Linked DNA regions of Drosophila melanogaster. The protein of the gene in region 3 interacts with the protein of the main gene of each other region in a pairwise test. Each region holds a gene or a part of one and is shown on either strand. Other genes may lie near its edges.

Region 1 (7,935 bases), on a different chromosome or scaffold from region 3:
GACATCACCGATCATCATAACCCAATCATCTCAGCCAATCAGCAGAAATGACAGAGACCAGTAATCAGCAGCCTGGCGGCGAAGATTTCAATGGCCGCCACTCGGCATCGCCGGCCCGCACCATTGATTCGCATGATTCCACCACCGGCAGCATGGATACCATTGTGGATCGCAGCCTGAATCCTGAGGAACTCCATCAGGTGGTGACCACCATCGAACATAGCACGAATACCACGAACTTGGCGGGATCGGGCGGTAGTCTGACCAACTCGCAAATCGGCATGCTTCAACGGGATGAGAATCGAAAACAGCAGGAGGACCAGGAGCAGGCGCGCCAGGATGCCCAAAGTCACATCTATTCGAGTCCTGTCTACGATGAGAAGCCGCCGGCGGTGAAACTCCTATCCGCCGCCCTAGACTTGGATGCCCAAAAATCCCAGGCAAACAATGATGACGATAATAAGCCCAATCTTATTTCGCACCAAGAGTTCAAACAACAGCTGCAGGAAGCTATTGCTTCGCGGCAACCAAACCAGGTAGGTCCTACAAAAAGTCAACCAAAATTAATCAATTTGTATCAGTTGAATCACCTAATAGGGCTAGAGAATCTTTAATTGTCCATTTCTGTACTGCCTTGCTCTCATTAATCCTCAGACAATCGAATATTGTACCAAACACATTTTTTCTTCTGTGCAGGTGAATGGCACTAAGAGTGGGGCCACCACTTTGGACTCCAGGATCAGTCGTAAACAGCGCTGTCCACCGGAATTTATTAAGTACAAGGAGGGCAGCGAGGGTGGAGGCAGTGGCTCATCGCTTTCCTCGAAAGATCGGCGCAAGCGCAAGGCGAGCAATGAATGCTGCTCGGCATTTCCACTGCAAATAGTGTTGGGCACTCTCCAGTTGCTCCTGGCCATATCGCTGGTGGCCCTGGGATCACTTCTGATCGTCCGAGAGGCAGCGCTCTCACTGGCGGGATGCGGCATCTGGACGGGATTGATAGCAGCCGTTACGGGCTCCCTTGGAGTGGTGAGCATGCGCAAAACCCAGACAGCGTTTTTGGCCCTCAGTTTGGTCTGCATCGCCAGCAGCACCCTGGCTCTGGCTATTTCCGGCGTGGGATTGTCAAGGGACCTCAACAGGATGGCGGAGCAAAAGGGTGAACAGGTAAAGCCGGGCTCTTCGCATTGAGGCATGTTTTTTTAATGGTTTCATCCATTCTAGTTCGACTTGATCGATACCAACAGCGAGGTTTCCGCTGCCTGCGGCCTAATTTTTGCCCTGTTTCTTCATTTTGTGGTCAGTATTGTATCCGTCTATCGTTGCGCCCTTCAGATTTGCACTAAGTAAGTAAGCTACTCCTACTACTCCTACTTTTATATATGAAAAGTGGTTGTTGTCCACTTTTGAAGCAATAATAATACTGAATCTATAAGCACAATGTTTTTTTTTTTATTGTTTTTAAAAGCGCTTGTACGATATCCATTAGTTTTTTACCAATTGAATTTGGAATGTTGCGGCTAATATAAGTAAGTAAGTCTGCAAAACCGTTGTATTTATTTAGCAAAGTTTCCGGAAATCAATATAAAAGGGATATAGAAATTTATAATAACGGTTTTTAGACGGTTTACACAAGATAACTTGTTTCGTGACGACGTTTTCGTAATGAATTGGTATTTTTCGCGTTTGGTATATTGCTAGACACGGTCACACGGGCCAAATCATTCTCAAATAAAACTATATTTATATGTTTTTTTTTTTTTAATTGAGTTATATAGACTTTTAAAACCGAAAGAATGTATTAAAAGTGTAAACAAAAATTTGCTGAATACGCACAGTAAAAACATCGGCTGCAAAAAGTAAATCGATGTTTTCGGAAAACTGAAACTATCGATGTAATCGATGGTAACATCGATTTTTTTGCAGCTCTAAAAAAACTTTATTGTGAATGTGTAAATAATAGTGATAAGAAGCAACACAGCTGTGCGGATTGCGAAGCGGATAGTAAAGCAGACGGCGTACGAAACGTGGGCGCATTAGGAAAGCGCTGCTTGTTGGCCGTAGGAGCAGCAGGGAAACCAGAGAAATCCGGAGAGGCAACAGCGCAGTCGACTGCGACGCCCACGCAGCGGAAGTAATAAAAAAGAAAAGTGAAATCGGAAGTAGGGAGAGTTCGGTGGAGGAGGAGCAGCAGGAGGAGTTGGAAACGCAGGGGGAACTCGGGCTCTAGCATTGTGCATCAGGATCTGGAAACAAAGGAACCGCTAGGAGCAGTTGCCTCACAACGCTAGCAGCCACCGAAGTCATGCCGCTGGCCGATTCGCAAAAGGATCTCCGCCAGCAGCCTCAGCAGCAGCAGCAGCAGCAGCATGTGTCCTCCACCAGCAGCAGCAACAATGCGGAGCAGCAATGCAGCAGCAGCGGATTGGGTCTGCAGCTGCGCCAGCGCATGCAAATTACCTCGTCCGGCTGCAGCAGCCTGGCGGTCACGCCCATGGAGCACACGCCCACCGAGGACGATGAGAGTGGCGGAGGCAACAGCGGTGTCACTTCCTCGGTGACCACTGTGACATCATCGCAACGCCGCCAGCAGCTGCAACAGGTGCAACAGCAATCTGCTCTGCAAGCGGCCCTCGAGCAGCATCACATCTCACCAACAGCAGACTTGGATTCCGCTAGGAAAAGGCCGACGCATCGAACCTTGTGCCCGCCGCCAGAACTTATGGAGCTGAGTGATTCCGAGTCCCAGGGAGGCGTGGAAACTGGCGGTAGGAGAGAAGGGGCTACTGGGCGAAGTGCACCTGATTTAGAAGACACCGAGCCCCTATATGAAACAGAAAACGAATTCGAGCTTAAGGAAGTCATCAAGGAGGGTCACGACAAGGCCGATCCTTCCCAGTTCGAGCTCCTACGGGTTCTGGGCGAAGGTAGCTTTGGAAAGGTGTTTCTAGTGCGAAAGATCATAGGCAAAGATGCAGGAACACTCTATGCCATGAAGGTGCTCAAAAAGGCCACCCTAAAAGTAAAAGATCGCGTAAGGAGCACAAATGAACGAAAAATACTAGCGGACGTGGGTCATGCTTTCATCGTACGTCTTCACTATGCCTTCCAAACTCCCGGAAAACTCTACTTGATACTGGATTTTCTTCGTGGCGGTGATCTGTTTACCCGTCTATCCAAAGAAGTAATGTTTACGGAAGAAGATGTCAAGTTCTATTTAGCGGAACTGGCGCTAGCTATGAATCACCTACACACATTGGGCATTATCTACAGGGATCTGAAACCGGAAAATATTCTACTGGACGAGCATGGCCATATAGCCTTGACGGACTTTGGTCTATCCAAGCAGCCTTTGGATGGCTCAAAAACATATAGCTTTTGTGGAACCGTAGAATACATGGCGCCGGAGATCGTGAACCGAAAGGGACACGATTTTGCCGCTGATTGGTGGAGTTTCGGGGTGCTCATGTACGAAATGTTAACGGGGAATTTACCCTTTCATGGCCAAACCCGCCAAGAGACTATGAATCAGATCCTTAGAAGTAAGCTGGGCATGCCGGAGAATTTGTCGCCAGAGGCGCAATCCCTGCTACGTGCTCTCTTCAAAAGAAACCCCCAGAATCGTTTGGGTGCGGGTGCCCAAGGAATTCTGGACATCAAGGCGCACTGCTTTTTTGCCACCATCGACTGGGTGAGATTAGAACGAAAGCAGGTGCGTCCGCCTTTCATACCGGCGGTTAGCCGTGACGATGCCTTTTACTTTGATGTGGAGTACACCTCAAAGTCCCCCAGGGATTCTCCGGGTGGCCCGATCTCCGCATCTGCCCATGAGATCTTCCGCGGGTTCAGCTTTGTGGCTCCTGTCCTTCTGGAAGGTCAGTGTGCTGGCTCGAATATGTGCTCCACCAGCGCCAGTCCTCTGCATAGTATAGCTCCTATTCCTGCTGCTCCAGTGGGAGCCCCTCGAACATTACCTGGTGTTCTTCCCGGAAACTTCCATGCGGAATATAATCTACTGCAAGAACTGGGACGTGGAACCTTTTCAGTTTGTCGGTTGTGCGAGCATCGAGCCTCCAAGAAACATTACGCAGTAAAAGTAATCGAAAAGGCAGCTGTGGCCGCAGCATCCACATCCACTTCTGCCGATTGTTGGGAGGAGGTGGAGATTATGCTGAGGTACGGCAACCACCCAAATATCGTCACTCTGTACTCTGTTTACGAGGATGCGGGGTCCGCATATCTTGTGATGGAGCTGCTTAAGGGTGGCGAGCTTCTCGATCGGATACTTGCCGTGGGCCAGATGTGCGAGAGTGAGGCCAGCGCGGTGTTAAGGACAATTGCATCTGCGGTAGCATATCTCCATGAACATGGCGTGGTCCATCGAGATCTTAAGCCTTCAAATATGATATATGCCAGTATGCGGCAAACTCCCGAGACCCTAAAGCTCTGCGATTTGGGTGAGTGCGGAGCGGAACTAGTTAAATATATTTTATTATAGCCTTGCAGTAAATTTTCCAATTGCTGACAAACATGATTCACTTTAAAAGCTAAACTTTCGTAATTTTTAATTCCTTTAACTATTATTTGTTTTCTAAGTTACTTTGTTATTTGCAATTTTAAAGGTTTCTTTTCTCCAAACAGAAGGTTTTTCATTTTAAGATCTTATTTAGCCAAAGTTCCATCCTATTGCAATTGAAATCATTTGATAATATTTAAATTCAGAAAGCATTTATTTCTGCAAGGCTATATATTTTTCTGTGCGAGTATTTCTTGTTGGTAGAGCAGGAGTAACCTTCCGATTTCCGCTTAGGTTTCGCGAAGCAGCTGCGCGCGGACAACGGCCTCCTGATGACGCCATGCTACACAGCCAATTTTGTGGCTCCCGAGGTTCTAAAGAGACAGGGCTATGACCTGGCTTGCGACATCTGGTCGCTCGGTGTGCTGCTTTACATCATGTTATCCGGCCGGACGCCTTTCGCCAGCACTCCAAATGATTCACCGGACGTAATACTGAAGCGCATCGGATCAGGACAAATTGACTTCACAAGCAGTCGCTGGGCACTGATCAGTGTGCCGGCCAAAGAACTTTTGCGTCAGATGCTACACATAGTACCGGAGAATCGGCCGACGGCGGCGCGAATACTTGAGCACGACTGGCTGCGGGAGCAATTCGCCGGCGGCGTACAGCTTACAGAGTATGCGGTGGCGCCCGGATCCCAACTTTCGCTGGGCGCCCAGCAGCAGCAGCAGAATCACATCTCCATGGCCTTAAGAGGCGCTGTTGATGCCACTTTCCGGGCTATTGCCATACCCCAGGCGGCGAATGTGGGACCCGTAGAACTTTCCATGCTCGCCAAGAGGCGGGCCAAAGATCGAGCCAACCTGCACTCCTAATCCTGGGCGGCTGCATGGTGTCCGCGGCGCCAGGCCAAGCGGCAGATAGTCCGACTACTTTTCCGAATCTATAGTATTCTAATCCAATGCTGCTGTGCCAATCCGCGTCGTCTTGTCAAGGACAATGCGCAGAAGCTTGGTTCACATCCACAAACGCTGGGCAATCCTCGCCAACGCTGCCGCAGCGCCAAGCTGCGTGTGGTTTAGGTTTTGGGGGAATCGGCCTAACCTAAAGTATTTGACAAGTGTTAATTATTTATTTTATATGAAAGCATGCCAATATGCCAAGGCCATAACGCACTGTGCGGGGCATCTATATACACATATATATAACTATACAAATACTGATATACATCTATATATAGCTATTTATATAACGAATCCTAAAGCAAGGGCCTAGAGAGCGCGTGTGAATGTGGCGCCAGGATCATCCCAGATGATTCCTGAAACCACATTATTTATCCCAAACTGGAAATTAAAAAAAAGCCTCTCGCCCAAGTTTACATATTTTTAATTAAATTAATCGTAGCTAAATTTTTCAACATCACCGTGTTATTGTTGCTTAATTAAATTAATTAAAATGAAAAAAAAAATGGAAAAAAGTATTAGCAAAACAAACAAAAATTAAGAATAAAAGCCGCAATCCTTTTATATAATAATAACTTTTTTCGCCAAACTATAAAGGAAGAACAAAGAACCCAAAAAAAACTGTGTAGAAAGATAAGAAAATCAAACCACAAGAGTTTCCACAATTCTTACTTGGAATGTCAATTTGCACAATGAAATATGAAACTAAGCAAAAGATAAACATAACTACCATATTATACAGAATGTGTACATAAAGCGGAAACTGTGCTTTTCGGGTTTATAAGGCAAAGGATATTAGAAAAGAGTATTTTATTAATAATTCCCTAAACAATAAAAACCGACGTTCTTTCCAACACTGCACAAGGGTGCATATTGTTATTTAATTGTAATTAAGAAACGTAAATCCTGCTAACTTGTCTTACAGTCGCGAAACGCACAGTTTAGTTGTAATAACGCCGGGGAAACAGTTGTGACAACATCAAATTGGGTTTCCATTTTGTTTGCTAACGTCTTCCAACAGAAATTATATCAAACAATATACCTTTTTGCGCTGTAACCAGATATAGAAAGTTCCGACTTACCATTGGATGATTTAGAACCGAAACCGCGATATATTCCATCATACTCGTACTGAATACAAATAGGATAGCGTCGTATAAACGACTTGGGTTAATGCAGAGAATTCCATTTGTTTGTGCTAGTTTCTCTAAAAACTGCACGATCATCAGTTCCCAACAACTTGTTTCGACTCTTCGAAGACAATTCCAATTTTGTTGTATTTTTGCCAAGGAAAACTTGTTAAAATTATGCTAGAGGGAAATATACAAAAAAAAAAAAAGAAAATACAAGCAAAGTGGAACGAAATTGAATAAATTATGTAGAAGAGCCATGTGAATCCTTAGAAGCTATGTATGCCACTTGAAAAGCAGAAGTTTCTTGTTTGCGAGCTTGTGTGTGTGCATAAGAGGCTGTGTGTGTGCTTCTTGTAAGTGCATGTGTGTGTGTGCTAAAGGATTATTGTGCTGTGCCACTACTGAACTTACTGCTACCAAAAATAAAACAATAACTTCATATACATATTTACACCACCTAAACAAGGTTAGTAAAACTTAGAAATTTTTTAAAAAAGGATAACATCCCTTGAATAAAACTGTATTTTCGTGGTGTTATTAAAAGGAGTTGGAGGGGGAAAATGGTATGATTATCCTAAAGTACATATATAATTAGCTAGCTGCGGAGGGAAAACAATGTGTACACATTGACATATAATATAGAAAATATTTAAGAAGGATCTTGAGATGAACATTTCGCCTAATAGTTGTCACGATAAACTTTTGCAAAATATGTTGCGTCTACAGCAATGATTTATACTTAATTACCTTGTTTTGAAATGACGACAACCAAATTGAAGGGATACGTCGTTTCCCTGCTTCGTTTTTTAACAGATTCATACACAAATTATAAAACGAAGTTGAGACAGGCAGAAAAAGAATTTTAGTCCACGGGCTGATGAGAAATCTAATCCAGCGATTAGATTAAAACTCATGTATACAAAAGTGGCCTACTATGATAAAAACTGTAATCATTTATCAATAATTCCGAACGGTCTCTTACAAAAATGTTCGGGTTGCACAAAAAGGACAGAGACAACAGATAGTTTAAGCATACAATACAAGCAACCCACTTTAAAGCCAACTCTCGACTAAATTCCCCAAGAACATACATATATATCTTAATCATATATATGAATGCGTGAATATATTTTCTTAGTAGATTTTAACAGCTTCCAGACTATACATACATTCAAATGATTGAATTCCGATATGAATCATTTAATTAATAAACATATTCAACGAAACTGATTCGAAATTATTGTTAAGTTGAATTTTTCAAACCAAGCAGAAGGAACCTAATTGAAAAACAAATAACCAATTCGAATTGTTTCGATCTAAT
Region 2 (5,067 bases), on a different chromosome or scaffold from region 3:
GGCCCATTGAAATCTTAGTTGCAAAATAAATGAACATATATCAAATAAATACAGTCCACTACTGTTATAAATGCAACTAATATACTAATGTACATCTCAGCTTGCTGGCCCTTTGGCAGAATGTTCACACATGAACACGAATATATTTAAAGACTTACAATTTTGGGCTCCGTTCATATCTTATGTAAATGAATCGAGAGCGATAAATTATATTTAGGATTTTGTTATCTAAGGCGACATGGGTGCATTGCTCAAAAACATGTAATTTAAGTGCACACTACATGAGTCAGTCACTTGAGATCGTTCCCCGCCTCCTAAAATAGTCCCTTAGTGGGAGACCACAGATAAGGTCCTCGCCGCTCAAGATAGGCAGATGTGCCCGAGCGTGGGACCTCGATAAGGCGGGGACTATTTACTTAGGCCTCTGCGTAGGCCATTTACTTTAAGATGCGATTCTCATGTCACCTATTTAAACCGAAGATATTTCCAAATAAAATCAGTTTCTTACAAAAACTCAACGAGTAAAGTCTTCTTATTTGGGATTTTACAGTGAGTCTACAATTTGGCGCGCTTAAGGTAATCCTTGTAGGTAACATCACGCCACCAATGAGGACGCTCGTAGACACCTGGAGTGGAGACAAGCGTGCGCTGCAGATGCTGGTAGACCTGCGAAAGGATAGAATCTTTAGTAAGAGTAGCAGTTGCTTATGGTAGACCACTTACGTTTCCATCGCTCATGCCCAGAGGAGAGTTTAGAATAAAGTCTGTGGGAGCAATGGCATCCACCAGAGCAATGGCTTCGTTCTTCAGCAGGGGAAGCAGAGCCAGAATGCCCTGTTCGTACAGCTCCAGTTGGTTAGAGTTTTCGCGGAAGTAACCACCGCGGTAGAAAGCAGCGGAGTACTTTGTGACCAAGTGGGCGCCATAGAAGGAGAGCACCTGCTGCAGTACCTTCTTCTCAGCAGAGTCGGGCAGACCAATTACAAACTTATAAAACACGTAGTAGATGGTGCGCTAAAAGAATATTAAACTTGGTTATTTTACTATTTAGTTGGGGTTTAGAGGGTTGGCATCTCACCTCGCCGTAGATAATGGAGAGCTTCTGGGCGGCAAAGACCTGGATGTTGTTCCTCGTCTCAAAGGCATCCTTTCCTTCGCGCTGCTGTTCCTCAACTCGTTTCACCGTCGTATCCAGTTGCCAGACGGTAAGCCAGTTGAGGGCATTAAGTAGATCTATAGAAGTGCAATAAAATTGCGTTATTCCTATCTTATATTTGGATAACTAAGAAATACTCACTGAGCGGATCCAAAACTTCGGCAGGAGTTCGCTCCTGACCCTTGCTTTGCAGAATTGTGTCCATATCCTTCAGGAAGGAGACTGTCTCCAATGGGGAAACTGCCACGAAGTCGGCATTGTTGCGTTGCAGACTGATCAACCAATTGGACGCTTGCTGGATGAGCGTGTTGTTCTCGCCCTCATAGGTGCAGTTGGCATCGTTGTCGTTGCGAAGTTCGCCCAAGCCAGAAGATTTAAGATAGCCATGACCGCCACAGGCCTCGCGGCATTCCTGAGATTAAAACAATATAACCGATAAGTAAAAGTGGTTATATACATATATAAAGCATTCATACCTGGATGCCATCCCTGGCAGCCCAAGTGGCAACTGGTTTGAGTGCCGATGAGATCGCATGGATCTCCATGCCCGCTTGCGACGTGTCCTCGCCAGTGAAGCCCTTCATGGTCAAATCCACGTTCTCTTTGCCTATCCAGAGTGTGGCCACCCGCAAGGCGATTGTGGTGGCCAAGTGGGGAATTAGTCGGTATTGCTGTGACTGATACTCGATCACGGGCCACTCCGCCGGGCTGTTGGTAGGGCCAAACTGGCGTCTGCTGGCCGCATAGCGAGTGGCAATTGTCACAGCCTTGCTCAAGGCCACATACGTGATAGCAGTGATATTGACGCGACCCACGGAGAGGGCACCCAAGGAGGCGCCAAGGCGCTTACGCTCGTCCTTAATTTTACTGGTGTAGTTTCCCTGCGCATCGATGTCACCGGTCTTGGACAGCAGATTTGCCTTAGGGATACGATACTGGTTGAACATCACAAATCTGCAATGCCAAACAAATCGAAATTATTTCTGTTGCTGTTGATTAGTTTTATCAACTGATAGAAGAAAGTACTTGCCCGTTATCAATGCCATTGAGACCGATCTTTTCGCCCATATCGCCGACGGTTACGCCGGGGAATGGAAGCAATGTACGCTCGTCCCGAATGGGAACAAGGAAGGCCTGCAGGCCCTGGTGCTTGTCATCCGGCACGTACAGCTGGGCGTAGACGATTGCGTGCGTGCAAGTCTTGCCTAGATTACCGACCCAACACTTGGCCGCCTCGAAGTCTGGCGTGTGGATGATAAACTCCTGCCTTTTCACATCGTAGGTGGCACGGGTGCGCATGCCGAGCGCGTTGGTGCCGTGAGAAATCTCAGTGAGAGCGTAGGCGCCCAAAATGCGGTTGTCCGCGATCTTGGCCACGTACTTGCCCAGGCGGCCAGATCCGTTGGAGACCAGCGTGCTGGGGAACATGCCAGTTGAAAGGCCGAACTTGACCGAAGTGCTGAAATCGTAGCTAAAGATGGCCTGTCCGAAAGCAAGCAGAAGATGTGGGGTTCCAAGATACTGAAAGAAAGACAGGAGATTTAGGCAGCCACACTTTCAGGAGTACGCAACGCATCCTACCTCGTTGACGCCGTAGAACTGTTGCTCCCACAGAAGATGCTGCCGCTTGTTGGCCATTTCGCGGGTGCGTTCCAAATCGGATCCTGGCTCCCGCTGGTAGTCGGGGTGCTGTTCCATCCATTGCCACACCTTGTGCTAAAGACGGAGTGACATGTAAACGAATTACTCAAGTGTGCAGATAAGAAACGGGCGACGATTAGACCGGGCGGTTGGCGGCCTGCAGCTCCGACAAAAGCTATCGAGGCAGTCTGCACTTCGACCCCGCTGACCATGTACATATGTAACAAACTGGAAATGGTAACGAACCTTCAGCCGTATGTGATCCTCGCCCTCGAGCACCACGTTCATGCGCTTGTAGCAGAAGCTAGCCCGCTCACGGTACTCTTCCAAAGGTCCGCTACGGAAGTCGGGAAAGATCCGTTTGTCATCGTAGATGTTGGCTGCAGCCTTCTCCTCCCGGCGGCCGCTGTAATAGTCGCCCAGTGCGGTTAGTAATGAGTTCAGACCGTTTTGGTCACCACCATCGCCATCGCCTACTCCGCTCGCCATTGCCCAGAGAACTGGCTCTTGTTGGAATGTTGGATTGGTGGACGTTGTGGTCGTCAGTCGAGGCGATGGGGCTGTGGGGCAGGGGTACTTACTTTGTGCTCAATGCAACCATGTTGGAGTTCGATTCTAGCGACTGGTCTGGCTGCTTCGAATGCTAGGCGCGAAATGCTTGAAAGTCCAGGCACTCGTAACTATTATTGGTAAAATAGCCAATGTCCAATGGCCAGCGGCGATAAGAAGGAATCCGCTTATCCGCACTTCATGGCCAAGTAGCCTTTTAGTGGTTTGCATCCGCCGCGGATAAGATACGGGCCCTAGGAGAATGCGGGATTAGGGCGGCCCGTGCAGGTGGTGGTGGGTGCTGCCTGCGAAATTCGAATCTTTTAGCGGCCACAAACATTGCTTTAATTTCCTATCAGCCATCAGCCAACAACAAGCGCGATAAACAAACAATTTTAACCCAGTTTTTCACCATTGAAGATAACATAGTTTGACGTGACTTAAGCCATGAGAAAGAACGGTGTTATATAAATACAAAATGTGAAGTTTTTTAAATTCTGTTAATTATTATATAATATAATTATTTAATTATTATACATAATATACATAAATTTCATGTTTAATTTTCTTTAATATCACAATTCAATGTTTTCACAAAATGTTTTAGCGGGGGCGTTGCCAGACCTTCTCAAGGTAGCCAGGGCTGGAATAGTAGGTCTGGCGCGTAATTTGAATATTCTTTCTATCAGAAACGAGTCATTTGCTGGTCTAATTTTATCTATTTTGTTATATAAAAACATTACAATATATATAAAAACATTACAATCCACATTTAAAATATGAAAAGAGCATCCATATCCATACCATACAATTTTCATGGATTCTAAATTTGATTTTAATTAAAACTGTTGAATAGTTTATTTTTTTCAAGAGCCCACAATAAAATGCGAATATGTACATGTAATTGATCTAATAGCATTTATTTGATTACGTTCTTAATACAACTTACACACTTAGTTAACATGCACTCATTTTTCCTTCGTTATTGGCTTGTCAGTTTATTCTTACAATACACGTCAGATTATTTATAAAACTAAATTGTAAACATCCGCATAGTAATTCGTTTTTAATACAATAAATAATAACCAAAAAAACACACTGAAGTTGCCTTTTTTGATTTTAAAAACACTTTGGAGATTGATTGATATTAGCAATTAAGGGCGTACAAATGACGGGGTAATTAGTGTGCAATCAAAAACGTTCTGCATTCGAATGTTTAAAATACAATTTTACATTTATAATTATAATCTGACGTCTAGCTATAACCTACGTGTGTATTTCGAGTTCAAATCTTACATTTCACTCTTTTGTATAAGTTCTGGCTAAAATCCTTGCAATAAGCCATTTCGGCAATTTGTTTATTAAACTAATTAGGTAACACGTAGTTATTGATTACAATTTCAATTTTTTCTATTTTCGTTTCAGTGGCTGCGCAATCGCAATAAGTTCCTTAATTGTTGCTAAAAAATGTTCCATTAGAAAAAGCTATAAAAATTACGTCGCTTTTACATATATATGTACGCATTAAAACTTCATTTATAGAGCTGCTTACGAAAAATTCAAATTGACGATTCAAATAAAACGTTGCGTGATATTTTGGTGTTGCTCATTTAAACCGCTGATATTTCTAATTTTCTTAAGATTATCAATAATATGAATGCTTGTATATATTGAATGAATATAATAAATTTAAAAGGAAATAAATGGCCTATTTGAGCTAA
Region 3 (4,045 bases):
ATTCCAGCTCAACTCCCGCCCATCAATTGTGTTGCAAAAATTCCGAGTGGCCGTGTCACCGGTCACTGCATTTCGATCCGGGAGTGTGACTACTTCATGAGAATCCTGCTATCCGGCAATCTCAGCCAGAGCGATCGCAACCTGCTCCGTGATAATCAGTGCGGAGTGCGGGGCAACGACGTCCAGGTGGGTGATTCACCACAGTATCTCTCCCTACCCAATTGAACTCGAACTTCCACAACTTGATCCATTAAGCGCTACTAAATAAAACAAGCTCGATTATATTGGGCCTGTTCTGGTTTTCACTTTCACTGCCCAGCTTCATTTTTTTGGAATTTTATAAACGCTTGCGTTCTTATCATTTTCTACAGATAAGAACTTGTAAACGATTTGAATAGGGAAATACACCACATTTTGATAATACGAATGGTTTCAAATGAGATATCATTCTCCTTTTAAATATTTTAATTACTTCCATTGTTAATGTTAAGGAAACTTTTTGTAAAAATAAGTGACCTCAAACTGTATCATAAAAAAAAACTCGTTATTCGAGTACGCTTTTGGGAGTTCCTCGTAAAAGAGATATACTTTATAATATAATGATAAAGCCACTGTTTTTCTAGGTATGCTGTCCTAGTACCGCCGGCTTGGGTGCCCTGACCCACCCACTTTTGCCCTCGGATTGCGGAAAGGTTCGTTGGCAGCGTTCGAATGACACAGATACGCGAATCCGGGAGTTTCCCTGGCTGGCCCTCATTGAGTATACGCGCGGTGAGTTGCCGGTTTTGGTAATATATGTATATGTAGGTCACAGTATTAATCCCCACCTTTTTTACTCCGCAGGCAACCAGGAGAAGATCCATGCGTGTGGCGGTGTGCTTATCAGTGATCGGTATGTGCTAACTGCTGCCCATTGTGTGGCCCAGGCGGCGACTAGCAATCTGCAGATTACTGCTGTCCGGTTGGGTGAATGGGACACTAGCACGAATCCCGACTGTCAGTACCATGAGGATAGTAAAGTGGCGGATTGCGCGCCTCCCTACCAGGACATAGCCATCGAGGAGTTGCTTCCACATCCGCTCTACAATCGCACCGACAGGACGCAGATCAACGACATTGCCCTCGTCCGACTGGCAAGTCCTGCCAAGCTCAACGACTTTGTGCAACCCATTTGCCTGCCCAACAAGCAGCTGCGAGCGGACGAGCTGGAGGACCTGGTCACCGAGGTGGCCGGATGGCAGGCTAGTTCCTCGCAAAGGATGCGAAAAGGTTATGTGACCATTAGTTCGATTGAGGAGTGTCAAAGGAAGTACGCCAGCCAGCAGTTGCGCATCCAAGCCTCGAAGCTCTGTGGCCTGACCAATTCCCAGGAGTGCTACGGCAACGCTGGTGGACCACTGATGCTGTTCAAGAACGATGGCTATCTGCTCGGTGGACTGGTGTCGTTCGGACCCGTTCCCTGCCCCAATCCCGACTGGCCGGATGTCTACACCAGGGTGGCGTCCTACATCGATTGGATTCACGACAGTCTCAAAGCATAGATTGAAGTAAATACTTGGTACAACAAAATGTTCAGTAAAACAAACTAAAATAATAACTAAATCTTTTGATTCAGAAACAATATTTCAATAACTTACCTTGTGGGTAACAAAGTAGAAAGATTGTCTTTAAAATATGGAGATTTTCTTATTTATTTTGAAATTGGCGCCTAATATTATTCAATGTGATAGCAATTGGGGTATTTTTGGTCGCGTTAGGCGGAGAACTTTATGTGGGACTCCGGCGTCAGCACCTGGTTACACTTCAATCGAGTTTTAGTTCGCTTAGTATAAAAATCGCAAACCTACAAATCGGCAACAAATCTCCAGTTATAGCTTAAAGTGTTAATTAAGTGCTTAATAAATTAAGTATTTGTGTTGGCAACATGGCTGAAGCTGTAAAAAATGGTAAAAATCGTCACTCGGGGAGCGCTGAAAAAGGCAAGCGACAAATGGCGACTGTCTTATTGGATTGTTTTTTTCTTTCCTTTGCCCCTGCAGTGGGCAGAGTTGCATTTTCGAGTATTTTGGCGGTTCAAATTTGAATTTGGTCCTCTTGCTCTTTCCAGAAAGTGGCTCCCAACAACGACCTTTGGATAGCGGCGGAGGAGGGGGCGCCAGTGGCGGAGGCGGTGTCGCTGTAGGAGGCGGCTCGGGAATGCCGAAGAGGAAACATCGGCGGGGAAAAAAATCCAAGATGCAGCCCAAGAAGACCAAGAACCATTATCCGCAGTGGAAACTCGATATGTCAACGGGTGCAGGAGCAACGCTGGAGGGGAATCAACGACAGAATAGCAGAACCAAGCTGGTTCGTTCGCGCTCCTTGCTCGTTCCGTACAACACGAACCGCTTCCTAATGGAGGAACACATGTCGGAGCTGCACAAAGATGACTCCGACGACAACTGTTTTGGCTCCCAGACCGAAGATCAGGTGCTCTTCCTTTCCAAGGAGTTCTCCGATGTCTACGAGCGAGCGCGGCTCGAACGTTTGGAGACGATGAGCAAGCAGGAGCTCATCCAGGAGTGCATGCAAATCGAAGATCGATATTCGAAGGCCCAGAACATATCCAAGGAGTTTGGAGCCAAATTACGAGCGCAGGATGATAAGATTCGCCAACTATCACGTGAGAATCAATGTATGCGATGTCTTTAATAATTTGAAAAACCAGGAAAATTTATAACTTGTGCCTTTTATTCCAGTTCTGCGCACCCACCTCTTGCGCACGTGTTCCGCGACAGCTGGACCAGCGGCAGCAGCAGCGGCCGCAGCTTCCCCGCCCTCAGCGGTGGCGCCCACTCCCAGTTCAGCTTGCGAGCTGCAGGCTAGACAACAGCCTCCCCAGCAGCCACAACCCACACCCATGGACTCCACCAGCGAGGACAGCGAAAGCGACAGCAGCAGCACCACGTCGAGCACCACGTCCACCACTTCCTCGACCAGCAGCGATGGTCACGAAATGGGCGTGGCCGGCCTGAACATAGCCAATGGGCATGCCGAGCGGCACGAGAGGAGCCGCACCCGCTCCAGGTCTAGATCACCGATCCACCTGAATGGTCATGCCAACGAGGAGGAGCGTCAGCGCCTGCTAGATGGAAATCAAATGGAGGAGGACGACAACTCCAGCGATGTATCCAGGCCAGCCGATGCAGTTGTCAAATAGAATAAAATAGAAGAGTATGTCACTCCGCCGTGTGTAAATAAAAGACTCAATTGTGGTAGAATGTGGCGATAAATGGACATAATCCTTGTTTAGTTTTTAAGTCATCTGTGGACGCCTAAATTGTGAGGAGTTCCTTTCAATCATCAAATAGCTCATCAAAAAGCATTCATCAGAAAGAATTAGCATTACTTTATTATCTGCAAACGACGCCTCCCAATTGTATTTTTGTTGGTCTGTATGGTGTATAGTTTAGCGGTGTTGCCTCGAAGTGTTGATTTTAATGGAACTTTGTATAATGAAAAATCGATTTGTAGATAAATAAAGAGTTAAAACATGAATTCGAATAACTACCGCTATTCATTTTCTTACGGTGGGATGCGCAGTACATTTAATTTATATAATAAACTGGGTTTTGCGATTGTTAGATATCATATTTGGTCCTAGGGACATTTTTTAAAAACTTCCTTGCTACTTTAGTTTTAACATCAGATAAATAGTTTTGATTTACTAAAAGTCTTGTTTTGAGTCTGTGCTTTGGCTTGAAGTAGTATCCACAGGCTTGCCTGCTATTAACTTAACTAATGAGCTGTACTCCGTGGCGTAGAGCGTCCTGGCAATGCCCGCGTAGCCCACACCCACCAGTCTTTGTTCGGCCAAAGTTGCCTGTGGCTGTATATTGATTCGCTTGGGTCCTCGAACAGGCATCCATCCGCTGACAGGGCACGTATTGGACATCATAACTCCTCGTATGGCAACGTTTAAGCCCATCACAGACAAATTATCATCTCTGTACTCGTTGAGCATGCAATCTGATAGGCCCAAGTCATTTATGGCGGTCACGACATC
Region 4 (8,001 bases), on a different chromosome or scaffold from region 3:
ATAGCAATTAGATAATAAGTGAAATAATGCTCAGACAACTGACACGGTCAATGGGCCCGACCTCGCGGCTGCTTAAGCAGGTCAACTATGGCACAAATGCCCCAGCTGGCACCCACATTCCCGTGACCAAGGCCCTGGAAATTGGACAGTGGGAGGAAAAGCTCAAGGCCGCCGGCGTCGAGGACAGGAAGTTCAACGTGAAATGCATCGTGTCGCATGTCCTGAAGCAGAAGTTTGTAAGTATCTGTGAGAAAAGCTGGCTATCAACATCACTAACCATGTTTACGTTCCGTAGAGTTCGGTTCCTGACTCATTTGACCAGCTGCAGCTAAATCCCGGCCAGCTGGCGGATTTCGAGCGCTTCCTGGAGGCCCGTTGTGCCCGCATGCCGTTGCAGCACATCATTGGCGAGTGGGACTTCATGGACATTACGCTGAAGACATCGCCGTCGGTCTTCATTCCACGCCCCGAAACGGAGGAGTTTATGCGCCTGGTGATCGATGATCACAAGAACGCAAAGCACGTCGATCTTTTGGAGGTGGGCTGCGGCTCGGGCGCCATGTCCTTGTCCATGCTACACAGTCTGCCGCAGGTGGTGGCCACTGCCATTGAGCGTAGCAAGGCGGCAACCGTTCTGGCTGCGGAGAATGCCAAAATGCTGGGGCTGCTGAATCGATTTGAGGTACACAACCACACCATGGAGGAGGACAAGTACCTGCCGGAGGCGCTGAAGGACAAGAAGTACGATTTGATCATCTCCAATCCTCCGTATGTGAAAACTGAGGAGTTTCAGTTTCTGCATCCCGAAGTCGTGGTGTAAGTGATGTTATACCAGATGGATGCAGTGCACTAACTATCTTATATCCCCAGGTATGAGAACCTTAATGCCCTGGACGGTGGGTCCGATGGATTGAGGGTGGCTCGACTGGTTTTCGACTTGGCTTGTCGGCACCTGCGTCCCGGTGGCAAGCTCTGGCTGGAACTGGGCAACGACCACCCGCCGATGGTGAAGACCATTATGAATCTGAAGTACGAGGGCCGGCTCAAGTTCATCGCCGGCTACAGTGACCAGTATCAGCGCGAGAGATTCGTTCAGATCGAGAAGGTCTAGGCGAGATTGCGCCATAGACAGGACGGAATGCTATGACTTTGACAATGCAATTAGCTATAACGTTGCCCATGCATTTAGCTGTGATTTGATTTAAGACCAGACATACCTGCACGCTGCCCAGAGACTCACACCTATATAAACAGAATATATAGCGCTATTAATCCTTAAGTTTCGTCTCTGAATCTTTTAGCAACAACCGCAGGCGGTATTACTTCACAAATATACCTGTATAAATTGCACAATGCAATTAGCTGTTTGATTTATGACCATATTATTATCAGTATACAAAAACCACAACGACTTTTACCTAAGGCTTTCTACTGCATTTTTGATCCTATAATAATGGATTAACATGATTTTAAAGATCAATAGGTTAAAAGTATAATGCACCTATAATAACTGGTCACTGATTTAAACTATGGCGATTATGATTTATAACCAGAGGCTTGCTGCCATAAATTGGAGGGTGTTAATGATCATCGCGGATCGAGTATAATGCTGTTTAATCAAACTGATGTATTCTATATCTGCGATAAGCAAAATGCTAACCATATTTTTGGCCTGAAAGATGTGTATCCTGTCAATATATAGAATCAGAATATTTCTATGCAAATTAGAAAGTTTTTGCTTAAAGTTACCACTTTAATGCTTATAGGTGTACTGATTATGAAAACAAGGACACATGTCCACAAGGATTACCATAATTATGAACCCGAGTGCATAAATCCCCCGACTTCGCATCTGAATCTTGTTGTAACCGCTCCGCTGGAGAGCTTTAAGCTCCGGAGCGGATAAAAGCTCCGACAGAGTGGCTCGGAGCAACAAGTGGCTAACTTCCGTTGCCAGTTGGAAGTCGAAACTCGCGCCGGACGAGTCTGCGGAATCCGGGTGCGCGAGTGGAACGCGGATTTAGATTGTCGTAGCTCTTTAATTCAATTGACGATTTCGAGCTGCGATCTCCTTCGTTCGGCTGGTGTGTGTTGTTTCACTTTCAAGTACGCATACATATGTGTAGTATAATTAACAAATGGCTAAATCATAATTAAAGTCGGAGTTTCAGTGGATATCACAATGAGCGCTTGATGAAAGTCAAGAAGAGGGAACTTAAAAAGCGCCGAAACAAAACAAAAACGAGAAACACGTTAAACGAGAAATTGATTTTAAAAATTCTACATAAATTTGACCATATAGATTTGGGTAAATGAATGAATGTGCATATATATGTACATGTATATATATATACATACGCCCAAACTGCGATTTGAAGGCGGTTTGAATGTGGATTGGAAACTTTTAGAAACCAATTAGCCAGATCGTGACATTACTTAATGCATTTATCCGCCCGATCGACGCGTGCAAGTGTGTGCCTGTGTGCGTGAGTGCGTGCGTGCGTAAACATGAATACCGAATTGAATCGAGTTCAAACTTGCGTTCTTTTCGCCGACTGGTTTTCCGGCGAGGCTGGCTTAATCGCCTTGCGTTTGTAATTTTAGCACACTTTCAATATTTATTGTCGGTCCCTGCTCCCCGGCGCAGAAAATGCGAATAACAATCTGAGCAAACAAGATTCGGCAACGAATTTGCAGCTTGCCGCGCTGTGCAAATAAAAGTATATATAAAAGTATGTACATATATACATTTATATATAGCTGGTAATGCCTCCTTTGGCAGCATCAATATGTGCACCTGCTACGTGCAACACCGACTTGCAGCAACAGCCAACCGATGAGCGAAAGTCGCACGCCGATTGTGTTAACAAGTGTGTGGCTGGCTGCTCCCTGCCCGCATTTTAATTCATCATCCGCACCGTGTGCCAAGGCACTGCGATTCCCAATCCGTGGAGCTGTGAACGTTTTTGGCGACCTGCAGGCTAAGCAAGCGATTTATATGCTGCCGCTCACATGGCACAAGGTCCCATCCAAAAACAGCAGCGGCCAAGATAGTAGTTCATATGCACATATTTGGGTTCTTAACAGGTTAATTGTCATTTTATAATGATATGGGTTTAATAGGTTTCCATATCTGATCCAAAACTATACAGAAATGGAAGAAAGTCATCATAGGTGATCTTTTATTTGATAATTTCTTACATAAAGTTACTACTTCTTGTTCCCCATTGTACGTTGTGTACAGTGCGCGACGGCTAAGAAAACGGAGTGAAAATCAAGATAGTCGTTATCTAGTTTAGATGGCCTTTCGCAGTCGGGGACTGGGAAACATTGAAATGCAAATACGCCGCCTCGGTAGTTTCATTTGTGTGTCAAAAATTGTGTGGGGGTGTGGGGGGTTAACCCGGCTTAGACTCTAATCTGATCGATCGGAGTGTGAGAAATGGCCTGCTAATGGAATACTTACCACTTTCCCACACTTTTCAATCGCTTCAGCCGAGTGTGTCACCTGTGCGAGCCCATTAATACCCAAGGATGAGCTGGACAAACGAAAGTTAGTTGCGATCGCGTGAAAAGGGAAACCGGACAGTCGGTTTTTTGAGTGCGGATACAAAGTCTACATGTGGCACAACGACAACAGCATCGGCCAGTAATTTAAATGCTTCGCGGCGGCAATTGAAAGGGCCAGCAATTAACCACGACTACTGCAGCTGCGAGGCATAGTGGAAAATCACTTTTATAGACGTACATACATAACTCTATATATACATAGAGTTAGCTCCTGCAGCAAAATGAAGAACCGCCAGCGAACGCGCCGAATATCGCTAAATGAAAACCACAACAGATACATGGGCAGCGGCGGCATCGATGTACAAATAGTTACCAATACAAAGGAGCCCAATCAAGTCAATTTAAATTCATCGTCAGCCACGACGACCTCAGCGGAGGCTGCTCTGCCCGCTTCGCTTCCACTTGCTCAGATAGCGCAGCAGCCACATACCCATCCCCATCCCCATCCCAATCCCCATCTCCACCAGCAACACCAGCTGATTGTGACGCCCACAACGATGACGGGCAAGTATCATCCAGCGCACGCCAAGCTGCGAAGATGCAAATCGACGCCGAGTCTCAATTGCGATGGCATGGCGGAGCCCATGGAGGAGGACCAGCTCCATCGCTTTGCAGCATGCTCACGTAACCCCGCCGCGGAGGCTCAGCAGCATGCACAGCCATCGTGCAACAGCAGCAGCAGCAGCAGCGACGGCAGCTGCAACAGCAACAAGTGCAGCAGCAACATCTGCGGTGCGCAGCCAACAACTCCGGAGTCATTGCGCTTCGGATGCGCTCACTACAAGCGGCGGGCCATGTTCGTGGTAAGTGCAACAGGCAGTCCAACTCCATTCATATTATCTATGGATGCTTTTCCAAGCATTACATAAAAGGAAAAGCCCCAGAAAAGTTATAAAAGTTATACACTTGAACTTCTTTGATATGTATATCAATACAAATTTTAATCCTTTTTTAGTGTATCGTAGTATCTATAACCATTCTTAAGATTAGTAGATAGATGTTCGTAGAAAGACTAGACGGATCCATGTATCTAGCAGTCTTACTTGTAGTGAGATTAGTTTATTCAAACCTCAAATGTGAAACCAGTCAACTTATGTGATATAAGAACAAACTTCAATTTTGAAAGTTCTTTTTTTATTTTATACGGGTATAGTTCAATTCCTGGGTCATCAGATAAAGAATTATGCAATTGGAACCCCTATGTCATGATTAGAAAGCGGATCAGTCATTTCACTTTTATAAAATGAATCCTAAAAATACATTGAAATAAATTCAAAGTGATAAAGCCATTAAACATTTCACCCATTTGGAAAATTTTCAAGAAGATTATGATGGCGCCTCTAAATGGCATTTGTATGCCTATTTATCCATCTATCTATCTATGTGTGTGTGTGTGTCTATCCAACACAGCTACCTTCCTGAAAATGGGCGCATTTAACCTTTATTTATTCGTTCCTAAACAAATAAAGTGGCTAAACTCTAAACAGACACCTTTGGCGAAGATTCTTTTGTGTCTGTCTGCTGACTAGATTTTGAATTCAATTGGAGGGCATCGCTATTTGCACGGCAAGTGTTTGGCTTGTGTGGACAGCTTGACGATGTCCGGCATCCAAAAAACTAACTGGTCAGCATGCTCCGCTGAGCAGGAACTGAGCAGGAGGCGAGTGGCCACTGGCCAGTTAACACCTCCATTCGCCATTCATCTGGGCAAACAATGCGTTTGTCTTGATCGCTCGCGTTTGGATAACAAATTATGGGGCATCTAAAAATGTTGTGTGTGCATATAAAGCAATCGTAGCACGGCTATATTCAGGTTCTTTACCTTAACAATTAGTAGAGCCAGCAGACATAATTATCGTAAGGTGATAAGTACAGAAGTTCGAAGGTGGGAAAAGTAACTCAGTGCTGGGGAAAGTGGTAACCATTTCATGTATAAAGTATCTCATGCAGAGAAGACTGCAGCTGCACTTGATTAGATAGATTTGTTTGTGAATGACCTGGATTATTAAATAAAGAAAAAGAAAGTTAAATGTAAATATTTAAATACTTATAATTCCAACAGTAGTGAGCGCTTATTTGTTGTTGAAAAGCAGCCAATTCGCGATATGAATTATTAATTCCCCAAAAATTCTGTATTATGCGCTATGGCCTTACAATACTTTCCAAAAAATGTCACGTAAATCCGTACACACGCTTCAATCTGTCCCACATTTTAATAAAATTCGAATGTAGAGGTTTTTGCTTTCGTCTGTGCACCGCGAGAAATTCGGATAAGCGAGGGTTTTGTGCACTAATGAGGTGCCCATTGAGTGTTGAATCAGCTGGGTTATTTTATAGTCAAATATTTATTTTCGCCCGACAGTGCGTGAAATAAATGTATACATGAATGTGGACATAAGCTGAGAGCAGTATGTGCAATCCCCCAAGTGGAGCAATGCCCCATGGATATCGCCTGTTCCCGCGAATCTTGTATCAATTTGTGTTAGAAGCTTTGTTTCGTCTTGGCTAAATAAATTTGAGATGTCTGGAGTTAGCCAATTGCAGATGCAAACGATCATTAAAATACGATCGTTAGTGAAGCACAGCAATGAAAGCCGGGGGGAATGACAAAGAAACCGGATTCGAAGACTCTTCTCCGGTTCGGTTCTGTACTTCGAGTGTTATCATCGCAGCAGCAGCAGAGTTGAAATAAATACTTGTATACGAAAAAACTGTTGTTAAGTTATAAATAATTCTCAAAGATAGTGGAGATAGATGTGTGCGCGAGGCTGGAGGCAGATACAAATGGCTGGGTGTTGGCTGTAACTAAGCCGAACTCGAGGATACACAAGATAATTAAGGGCATAAATTAACTTATTTTCAAACTTTATCCCCAAGACAAAACTGATAGAACTATATCATGTAGTTCGAGCTGTGCATCGACAGGTGAACTAATTAGCAGCCACCTAATTAAACGACACGAGTACCTTTGGCATCTTTACAATCGGATTGGGATTCACCCGCTGATTTGACTCGAAATTCGTACAAAATTCGATTCAGTTTCAAGTGCCTTGTTTATGATAATGCTAAGTTATTGCCTTTGGCATGTAGACGTCACTAGTAGATTTGTTTTTTAGTCGGTTTCCAGGCAGATTTCTTAAATTAGCAACTCCATTTGGGGAGTTAGGAGTCGTGCTAATTGCCGCTCGATAATAGGTTTTTCGTAGTCCTTGACTGAGGGGTGTAGTCCATCGGCAGGTGTGGCGGGGAGCAATCTCAGCTCCATTTAAAGTGGAATTTTTTCGAGCAGCGATTTCTTTTCAGCACTAATTTGATCTGATACTGATCACGCAACTATATCTTTCTCAGACCCCCTGCTGCAACAAGTTCTACAAGTGCCGATTTTGCCACGACGAGAACGAGACGCATCACTTCGATCGCAAAACGCTCACCGAACTAATATGCTCCGAGTGCAATACGCGGCAAACGGTGCGGGAGCAGTGCCTCAATTGCGGCGTGAGATTTGGTAAGGTAAGATATCCATCCAGGTGTCCAAAAATCACAGCAAAACCCTACTAGTAATATCATTTTGATGTACTTACAGTACACCTGCCTGATCTGCAACCTCTTCGATGATGCGGACAAGCAGCAGTACCATTGTCATGGATGTGGGATTTGTCGCATTGGCGGTGCGGAGAACTTCTTCCACTGCGAGGTGTGCAACATGTGCCTACCTATTCAGCTGAAGATCGATGGCCACCGGGTGAGTTGGTACTACATTTGGCACTTCATTGGGCTTGATTAAGATTTGGCCTGTAAGTGGGAATGCTGACCTCCGCGATTCGAAAGCAAATCAAAGAAACACATTAACTTTTTTTTTTTTTTGTCAATTCATTACCAAAACCGGTTGCCTAATTGCTATATGTAGCGATATATGATCTGCGATCTGCAATCTGGGATCCAGTTGAGTGGATATGAATGTCAAATGTGCTGAAGCAATGACTTCATTAATTGACAGCGAATTGGGCCAGAGACTGGCATGGCTGATTGCTAAATCCTTGCTAATTGACAACGTGTCTATTTTCCCGTAGTGCGTGGAGAACATCTCGCGATCGCACTGCCCCGTGTGCCTGGGCGACATCCACACTTCGCGCATACCCTGCCACATTCCCGACTGCGGACACCTGCTGCACAAGATGTGCTTCGACCAGCTGCTGGCCTCCGGCCACTACACCTGTCCCACCTGCCAGACCTCGCTGATCGATATGACGGCGCTGTGGGTATACTTGGACGACCAGGCGGAGCGCATGCCGGTGCCACTGAAGTACGAGAATCAGCGAGTGCACATATTCTGCAACGATTGTCACAAGGTACGACTAGATATACATAATACTAACATTCATGAAAAGCTCTTATAACCTTATCCAATTCATTACAGACTTCAAAAACCAA

What was found.
Region 1: the proteins of Hexim (region 3) and S6kII interact in a two-hybrid assay, tested with the Drosophila melanogaster proteins (one large-scale study listed by BioGRID).
Region 2: the proteins of Hexim (region 3) and Acox3 interact in a two-hybrid assay, tested with the Drosophila melanogaster proteins (one large-scale study listed by BioGRID).
Region 4: the proteins of Hexim (region 3) and Rchy1 interact in a two-hybrid assay, tested with the Drosophila melanogaster proteins (one large-scale study listed by BioGRID).

What each region holds. Positions count from the first base shown.
Region 1 is NC_004354.4:22,528,046-22,535,980, forward strand, and holds the start of S6kII (ribosomal protein S6 kinase II), read left to right. Parts: upstream 1-1,918; 5' UTR 1,919-2,305; coding exon 2,306-4,457; intron 4,458-4,810; coding exon 4,811-5,394; 3' UTR 5,395-7,935. Other genes in the region: CG17600 (uncharacterized protein), read left to right, coding at 48-536, 697-1,167, 1,225-1,346.
Region 2 is NT_033779.5:6,444,564-6,449,630, forward strand, and holds Acox3 (Acyl-CoA oxidase 3), read right to left. Parts: upstream 3,300-5,067; 5' UTR 3,287-3,299; coding exon 3,044-3,286; intron 2,873-3,043; coding exon 2,738-2,872; intron 2,678-2,737; coding exon 2,187-2,677; intron 2,111-2,186; coding exon 1,633-2,110; intron 1,569-1,632; coding exon 1,298-1,568; intron 1,234-1,297; coding exon 1,079-1,233; intron 1,015-1,078; coding exon 724-1,014; intron 667-723; coding exon 556-666; 3' UTR 507-555; downstream 1-506.
Region 3 is NT_033777.3:14,657,637-14,661,681, forward strand, and holds Hexim (hexamethylene bisacetamide inducible), read left to right. Parts: upstream 1-1,801; 5' UTR 1,802-1,924; coding exon 1,925-1,979; intron 1,980-2,107; coding exon 2,108-2,674; intron 2,675-2,738; coding exon 2,739-3,199; 3' UTR 3,200-3,541; downstream 3,542-4,045. Other genes in the region: CG3505 (uncharacterized protein), read left to right, coding at 8-186, 624-771, 844-1,541; Rad17, read right to left, coding at 3,707-4,045.
Region 4 is NT_033779.5:6,459,634-6,467,634, reverse strand, and holds the start of Rchy1 (ring finger and CHY zinc finger domain containing 1), read left to right. Parts: upstream 1-1,965; 5' UTR 1,966-2,106; intron 2,107-3,495; 5' UTR 3,496-3,791; coding exon 3,792-4,373; intron 4,374-6,918; coding exon 6,919-7,080; intron 7,081-7,153; coding exon 7,154-7,312; intron 7,313-7,640; coding exon 7,641-7,919; intron 7,920-7,987; coding exon 7,988-8,001. Other genes in the region: HemK1 (HemK methyltransferase 1), read left to right, coding at 27-236, 296-816, 871-1,111.